Linked DNA regions of Nothobranchius furzeri. The protein of the gene in region 1 interacts with the protein of each later gene in a pairwise test. Links are inferred from orthologs where the notes say so. Each region holds a gene or a part of one and is shown in the gene's direction. Other genes may lie near its edges.

What was found.
Region 2: the proteins of rtn1a (region 1) and ugcg interact in a two-hybrid assay, tested with the Homo sapiens proteins (2 studies listed by BioGRID and IntAct). The link is inferred for Nothobranchius furzeri from reciprocal best matches to the Homo sapiens genes RTN1 and UGCG.

The regions. Positions count from the first base shown.
Region 1 is NC_091758.1:31,278,958-31,283,216, forward strand, and holds the start of rtn1a (reticulon-1a), read left to right. Parts: upstream 1-1,290; 5' UTR 1,291-1,871; coding exon 1,872-2,079; intron 2,080-4,259. Other genes in the region: lrrc9 (leucine-rich repeat-containing protein 9), read right to left, coding at 100-165. UniProt on the Homo sapiens protein: Inhibits amyloid precursor protein processing, probably by blocking BACE1 activity.
Region 2 is NC_091746.1:70,014,147-70,018,648, forward strand, and holds the start of ugcg (ceramide glucosyltransferase), read left to right. Parts: upstream 1-1,518; 5' UTR 1,519-1,724; coding exon 1,725-1,822; intron 1,823-2,257; coding exon 2,258-2,402; intron 2,403-4,502. UniProt on the Homo sapiens protein: Participates in the initial step of the glucosylceramide-based glycosphingolipid/GSL synthetic pathway at the cytosolic surface of the Golgi.

The DNA.
Region 1 (4,259 bases):
CGTTAATATGTGAATACATTTGGTCAAAAGATGATTTTAAAGTTTCAAATAAAAATTGCTTGTAGGATTTTAGTCTAAGCTAAATGAAACAAAACTTACCAGTTTTTTAAGCACCTCCTCATCCTCGGTTTGTTGTTTCATTTTCTTTTTCTCTGTCTGCAGCATTTTTATAACTCTGTAAAACCACAAAACAGCTATGATCTAAAGCATTTATCCTGTTTTCTTTACGGAGTATATTAGAATAAAGACAAATAATAAACACACCTGGGATTTTATAGAGATAACCAATAACAGCTGTAATTATTAACAAACATTTATGCTAACTTTGCTAGCCCACCAAAGAATAGTACTTTTTAACCTGTAGACTTCGTTGTAAATAAGTAATTAAAGGTTAAAATTAACACTGATTTAATTTAAAATTAAATAATTGTGTGTTAAAGCAAATAAAGTTAACTGTTGTCACCTAATAAGGAGGAAAATCCTATCTATGGTCCATTTGTTGTTTACGATCACGAGCGGTTGCTAAGGAGAAAAAGTTCATGACTTTGTTCATACCCGAAGCTGCCAGAAGAGGGCGCCAGACAGCAGCCCATTCAAACCCATGAAACCTGAAAATATACTTAACGGAAAGCAAATTTATCACATAATAGACTCGTCTGGTTTAGTACTTTTTAAGAAACTCAGAATGCCATTTGTCTAATTTTGCATAGCATTGCTAGACCCGCAATCCAAATTTTATTAATCATGACTTTAGTTCAGATAAAAAAATTAAAAATATTTCAGATTTCAAGATTGTTGAATCATTAACAATAATAAAAAAACATTATCGATATTCTGTAGGTTATCTGCGTTATGACTAGATAAAAATTTGTCAGCTACATGGACACTATCACATTAAATACCAGAAATGTTGCATCTCCGTTAGAATCTTTTACCAAAATTCATCATTATGATGACTGATAATATCCTGTCTATTGTGTTCTGAATTATACACTAGGCTCTACTCTAAAAAAAAGATTACTTTGGATGTTCACAATTTTTAGACAGAGGCCTACTTGTGGATACACCTTCATCTTTTGTTGGAGGTTAGAATGTTGCTTATGGGGAAAAACGTCATAAATATATATATATATATATATATATATATATATATATATATATATATATATATATATATATAATGTTTTTATTTATTTTTATTTTTTAAGTAAAGATGGATATTTGCGATTCATCCAGTTTAACTATCAGGTAACAAGACGACCACTAACGGTGTGAGGTATTTTTAAATGGGCTATGAAACTTAGGTTTTCCCATTATGAGAAACCACATGAGAAATGTAATTTAAACAGGAGACATAAACAATGTGAGGGTTGAATATGTGTTACAATGGCCTTCCATACTCACATCCCTCTGGACAAACAAAACAGATTAAATTAGAATTTGTTGCTCCTTTTTTGGAAACAGCTTCTGTTTTCAGTAGGATGCTTCTGGTCATCAGCAGCAGGTTGTGTGGGGTTTCTTCAGCTTTTATTATAAATATGTATTCATATTTTTACTTTCTAAAACGTGTAAGCAGACAGTACTTTTAATTTTTATTTTATTATTTTATAATTGTCCCGAATGAAGGGCCAACCCCGAGACACTATGACGTCAGCGTCGGATCAGTGAACTAAAACAATCACCCTTCTCCTCCTTTTCCCTAACCGACCGCACCGCCTCACCCGTGGCGTCTGAAACCCCCACCCGACCAGACCAGACAGGACCAGAACCAGAACCAGCTGCACCGCTCCGTCCGTCCGTTCAACGCTCGTTCACACGGTCACGGAGGAGGAGAAGCTTGCAGCAGCTGCGGTATCTTCTGTCCGACCAGCATGTCCGCTCAGCCCGGTGAGGAGCTCGGCTCGGATGGGAAGTGGTTCGGAGACGAGAGGAACGGCCTCTTTGGGAACGCGCCGCCTCGGTTCGGTGAGGAATTCAAGCCGAGAGGCAACGACGCGGCGGGCGACCTGGATAAACAATTTCATCTTTACCAGGACGACGGGAAAAGGCCTCCCGTTGCTATGGAAACTGCATCTACAGGTAAAACACGCACTTATCTCAGGTAAATCGTCATATCTGGACAACATGCTGTTGTGTTTGGGCCTAACATGGGTTTGTCTGTGCCAAATGTAAATAACAACACGCACCAGAAGCCTATTATAAACAGATGGACGCAGTCAATTTGTCACAGATTACGACGGAGGGCCTTGGGTTTGTCTGAACGCAGTTTAAAACTTCTGAGCAGGAAACACACAAACACAAGCTGCAAGAGAAATATTTGCAAATATGGATCCGCAAATTAAACGATATTTCCAACCAAAAGCAATTTAGCACCATTTTAGGCCATCAAAACATAATTTATTCAAGCTTTTTAATATGCCTACCTGTGGGGGGTTAAATGATGTTCTACCCCTCACAAATAAACAATAATATTCTTTTAGATGTTGAGGCAAGAGGAATAAGATAGAAAACACCCAAATATTGCAGCCTTCATTCAGAATCTCTTTAATGATGCTGATGCTTTAAACCATGCAGTGTGTGATGGCTTCTGGAGGTGTATTTTCTTGGAACATTATGGCCCTTAACCCCCTCAACGCAACCCTTCTCATCTTGATGCTATTTTAGTAACATGGCCCCTGGATTCGCTTGGTGTGCACAAACTAGAGCTCTGCACTTTTATTCACAAATCCACTGAAAAATTCATGAGATATGCTTTTAAAAGAAACCCTTATAGTCTCTTCCTTTTGCTCAGACCCTTTCCCATTCAGCATGCAGCAGCTGATCCAAAACAAGGAAGTAAATCATCCGTTTTAAAGGGGACGTAATATGTATCCCCTTGTGCTGCCGTGTGGGTCTTTGCTGCCTCTCTAAACACTCCAAACGGGAGTAAAACACATCCATCCATTGTCTGCCCGTTTGGATTTAGGGATGATGCACCTAAAACAAGCTGTTTTAAAAAGTCCTCATTTGTAACATCGCAAACGGGGAAATTAGCATCTCACCTGAAGGAAAGCAACACAGCGTGAGGAGCAGCGTCTCTACTCTAACCCCTCCTTTCCACCGGAGCCGTACAGCACATCATATAGTTGCTGATAGGAACCGCTGTGGTAAACAGAACCTTTTCCACTGGAGCATCAGCAGCGCGAGTCGGCCGCATCTCAGGAGCAGCATGTCGCGGCCCTTACTCGCCGGCTCTGTTTTCTACGCGCTACGCCTCTGAAATGGGTCAAGTTCGACATTTTTGGGAAAGGAAAGACAGGAAATCGGACGCGGAAATGGAGCGAAGCTTCCCGAGATTTTCAGAATAAAGAAACGTACTGCCATCTGGTTGCTTTACTTTAAAAAAAAGTTATCACCTAGCTAGCTGTCTCCTTTGTTTTTCCATAATGGACGACGAAAGGTTGATTACTGAAGTGGAGAAGTACCCAATCCTGTTTGATCCCAGTCACAGTTTTTATAAAGACAACGTCAAGAAGGATAACACATGGAGTGACGTATCTGCGGTTTGGGGGCAAGATGGTGAGTTTATGCTAATTATTAACGAGATTTCTTTTCTGTATGGACCTCTGTCAGTTATGCTGACGCGTGATTTTGCTAATGTCGCGTGACTTCGTGCTCTGTCGGTGACAGCTGCCCCCCTGCTGCGTCGCGTCTCCTGGGAAGGGCCAAGCAGCAGCATACGCGAGCAAGACGTGCTGCTGCAGTAAAGTGCTGCTGACGGCTCCGGTGGAAAGGAGGGGTGTGCCCCTCCAAGATATCTGAGCTTCTCAGCTTATAGCAGCCTGAGCGTAGGATGGGTGGGCGTGGCCAGCTCCAACTTGTTAAAGCGACAGAGCCCTGAAACAGCTCAATCTGGAAGGTACTGAAATTGCTTAATGTGAGAGGGATTTCATGCAAAGCATTTCATAAACATGTTTTATATCGGCTGTAGAACTATTATAACCTAAAAAAAATCATCATGTGTCTAATTTGAGTCAACTTGGTGAATGCACAATTTAGACCTTGGTTTTTGCCATGGATGTGGAATATTTCATTTGAGGGTGAAGAGTTTATGCAAAAAGTGCATTTAGTTTTACAAATTAGCTGTACTCTCTTAAAAAGTAAACAAAGCATTTGCTCTACTTTTATAACAGTCTGCTAGATACGCTGTGTAGATGCACACTGGCACACACACACACACACACACACACACACACACACACACACACACACACACACAC
Region 2 (4,502 bases), on another chromosome or scaffold:
ATACCCCAATTTTATTATAATGAATTTATGCATGGCTAAATGTCAGATAATGATTAATAAAGGTGCACCGTTGGTATTGTGCTTTGACTTTATTTTAGTTCATAGTAGCCAATCAGACTACGATTAATACTTTGTGCTTTTTTCTACTTTATGGGTCGTTTACATGCGCCATCTTGTCCTAATTTGTGTCTCTACCTGGCCACCCCAAAATAAATGTTCTAGACACACACCTGTTGAGCAGACCACCCTCAGACAGGCACTGTGAACAGATCCCTCCACGTTTCACTCTCTAGATACGTTTTACCAGTCAGGACGAAGGTTCAGAGTCCGCCTCTGTCAGCACAACCGGTACAAACGCTCACTTCTCCCATTATCAGTGAAGCTGTTAAAGCACAAGATGAACATGTCCACTAGAATGCGCTGTTGCCTAGGCAACGGAGTCAAAAACCAATGGCTCTGGAGCCAGCTTAGCAGACAACTCCTATGTCAGAGGCGAGTTATCACCAGTGTGTGTGTGTGTGTGTGTGTTGGACGTGTCTTGCCCAAGGGCACTACGTTAGACCCAGATGAAGCCTGGGTTAGAACTGGCAACCCACATGTTACAGGACAAATTCTTATCCCCTGAGCCACTGATGGACTGTGGACACCTGCCTCACCTCACCTGGGGCCTGACGGGGACAAACAGCTGTCTGAAACTCAGGAATAAACAATTTAGACAGAGAGAGAGAGAATAAAAGGTCCGAGCCAATCAGGCTTCTCAGAATCTCTGAATCACTTCCTGTTTCTTGCCTGGGGGAGCAGCTAATTACCACACTGACTTATGATGTCATCATGATGATGACACTACACATAAGCATCCTGGCTGTCACATGACAAGAGGGTTTAGGTGTTTTTGTTTAAAAAAGTGGAACTGGTTTCTAGATGATGTCATCAGGGACATAGTTCAGTTATTAGACGAGTTTCACCAAGTCAAACGAAAAAGTACCAAATAGCTAAGTTTGACCTGTAGTAGCTGCTGTAAGCGTGTGTGTGTGTGTGTGTGTTTTCCTTTATTTGAACTTTATTCGTGTCATTGTTTTCATTTTAAAGGTGAGAGGTAGTTCAGAAGGAGAAAGCTGGAGGTGAGACAGCTCGAGCCACACCTGCTGAGGTGCAGGTAGGTGCTACAATGAGGGCTGAGGAGATTTTAGATGGTTGATGACGAGAGGGAGGAGAACACCATGACAGCAGGACTGGACTTGATGGTTGGTCTGCAGGAGGAGCTCTGGTGGAGTCAGATCCACCAATGCGGGTTTACCTGTTGCCGATGTATACAGGTTAGGGGTTCTGAGAGCAGGGCGCAACCTGGATAAGCGGAAGTGAAAGGATGAATTACTAAAAGTATGTTTATTCAGACAAGCTTTTATTTTGGAAGCACAAGCCGAACTTTGCTTTCGCTTCCGGTGTCGGCGCCGTACCCCCCCCCCCCCCCGTGTTGATCAGCTGACCGTCCATCGGTCTGCTGACTGTCAATAAGCCCCGAACACAGAACCCGAACCCCGCTGCTGGAGCCCTCGGACCGGACCGGACCACTTCCTGCCGCCCTTCGCTGCTACCCGGAGAGCGGATCTCTGGCAGCAGCAGCCGTTGCTCCTGGTTCCGGTGTTGTCCAGTCAGCTGGTCGCGACCACCCAGAGCCGAAGCTCCCTGAGGCGGCCTTCAGCCCCGCAGCCCCCCGGAGAGCCATGGACCTGCTGGATGTCGCCATGCAGGGCCTGGCCGTGTTCGGCCTGGTTCTGTTCGCCGTTTTGTGGCTCATGCACTTCATGTCCATCATCTATGTGTGAGTGACCCTTCTGTCGTGTCTGGACCTTGATCACCGACCCGGTTCGGCTGCCGGTGATCCCCGTGTGTCAGCTAGACCAGCCGGTGACCGTTACCGGTTAGCTGCTGCTTACAGCCGAGTACAGCTGAGTCCGCCCGACGGAGGACTTCCTGCGGTTTCGGATCACACCCATCACGGCCTGTAGCATTAGCCGTTAGCCTTCCGGTGTTCCGCCGGTAGACCGGTCCTGGTTCTGACAGCTGCGTGTTTACCGGCGTCGAGTTTTTTTATTCAGCAAAACTTTATTATGTTTTATCCAGAAAAACCACAACTTCCGGTCTTGTTCCGGTTCGGTTGGGACTTTTACATAACTCCGGTTTCTGGTCCTGGTCCTGTTGCTGGTGAGCAGAACCACATCATTGTGTCTAAGCTGACCTTTGACCTCTGTTGCAGGCGTCTTTACCTCCATAGGAAGAGGTCAGAGGTCAAGCAGCCGTTCCTGCAGGTAGCTGGAGTCTCTCTGCTGAAACCACTGAAGGGGGTCGACCCGAACCTCATCTGCAACCTGGAGACCTTCTTCACTCTGGACTACCCCAAGGTAACACACACACACACACACACACACACACACACACACACACACACACACACACACACACACACACACACACACACACACACACACACACACACACACACACATTTACACACACATACACATTTACACACACACACACACACACACACACACACACACACACATACACATACACACACATACACATTTACATTCACACACACACACACACACACACACACACACACACACAGGGATTTACTGACATGTGACCCTCAGCTGACTGGGCCCTGACTCACTAACATCAAAACCTCTCATAAACGATGGGGGTTCTGCTGGTGCCCCGGCCTGGTTACCGGCCCCCTCCACCAGACCTGCTGCCGCTACGGTGTGTTGGTGCGTTTCCTGTGAAACGCTCAGCCACAATCCAAGTGACTGGAGGTAGTGTAGTATTAAATCAGGTGTGTGTGTGTGTGCGCGCGCTCTGACAGCACTGTATGGGCTGCGCTGACACTGATCTGCTAACAAAGTTCCTAACGGATAAATGAAGGGAATAAAGCGTAGCCTACGCTCACACGCCACTCTTCCAGAACATTCAAGCTCAGGAGTTCAGATCGGGTCAGACAGGAAGTCAAACAAGAAGCTGTTGTTAAACATGGGAACTTTAAAAAGTCCCATGCAGATTTGCTGTTTACTAGTAAAACATGAGACCTCCATAGCCGAGGCAAACCCAACAGAACCGAACCACAGACCTTCTGGGAAAGCTGCTTCTGTCGTAGAGATGAGCTCAGTGTTTCTGGGTCACATCCCGCCTCTTCCTGCCATGAATGAACAATGCTAACTTAGTTATGAAAATGCAGCATAGAAATGAGGTGTCATTTCACAGGTAACCATGGCAACTTGGATAGAAATTCAGACTCTAGGACGTCGCGTTGGTGCGCAAAAAATGTTTTCTCCCTTCCAGCGGCACTGTGCTGCTGCAGCGGTGGGCTGAGGAGCGATCAGGCAACATCCAAATAAAAACATGGTCAGATGGATGCGCTGCTGCATCAGGGTGCTCTGGGATGGCTGGATATCCCAGTCTAACACCGGCTTTTCAATTCCAGGCCTCGAGGACCGGTATCCAGCACATTTCAGTGGTTTCTCTGGTCCAACACACTGGATTTTGTGGTTGAATCACCTGTGCAGCAGCTCATCAGGCCCTGCAGAAGCCTGTTAATCACCTACTAACTGAAATGTTGAAGCAGGGTTAAAACCAAAACGTGCTGGACACCGGCCTCGAGGCTCGGGATGAATGTCCCTGCTGTACAGAATATTCCTGTCATCAAGATGCACAGTGAGCTGGGGGGTGGGGGGGTCAGAGGTAACTGGGGGTGTGTCAGAGGTAACTGGGGGGGGGGGGTGTCAGAGGTAACTGGGGGTGTGTTAGAGGTAACTGGGGGGCGTGTCAGAGGTAACTGGGGGGTATCAGAGGTAACTGGGGGGGTGTCTGAGGTAACTGGGGGTATGTCAGAGGTAACTGGGGGGTGTCAGAGGTAGCTGGGGGTGTGTCTGAGGTAACTGGGGGTGTGTGTCAGAGGTAACTGGGGGGTGTGTCTGAGGTAACTGGGGGGGTGTGTCAGAGGTAACTGTGGGTGTGTGTCAGAGGTAACTGGGGGGGGGGTGTCAGAGGTAACTGGGGGTGTGTCTGAGGTAACTGGGCGGGGGGGTGTCAGAGGTAACTGGGGGGTGTCAGAGGTAACTGGGGGTGTGTCTGAGGTAACTGGGCAGGGGGGGGGGTGTCAGAGGTAACTGGGGGGTGTCAGGGGTAACTGGGGATGTGTGTCAGAGGTAACTGAGGGTGTGTCTGAGGTAACTGGGCGGGGGGGTGTCAGAGGTAACTGGGGATGTCTGTCAGAGGTAACTGAGGGTGTGTCTGAGGTAACTGGGCGGGGGGGTGTCAGAGGTAACTGGGGGTGTGTCTGAGGTAACTGGGGGTGTGTCAGAGGTAACTGGGGGTGTGTCTGAGGTAACTGGGGGGGTGTCTGAGGTAACTGGGGGGGTGTCTGAGGTAACTGGGGGTGTGTCTGAGGTAACTGGGGGTGTGTCTGAGGTAACTGGGGGGTGTCAGAGGTAACTGGG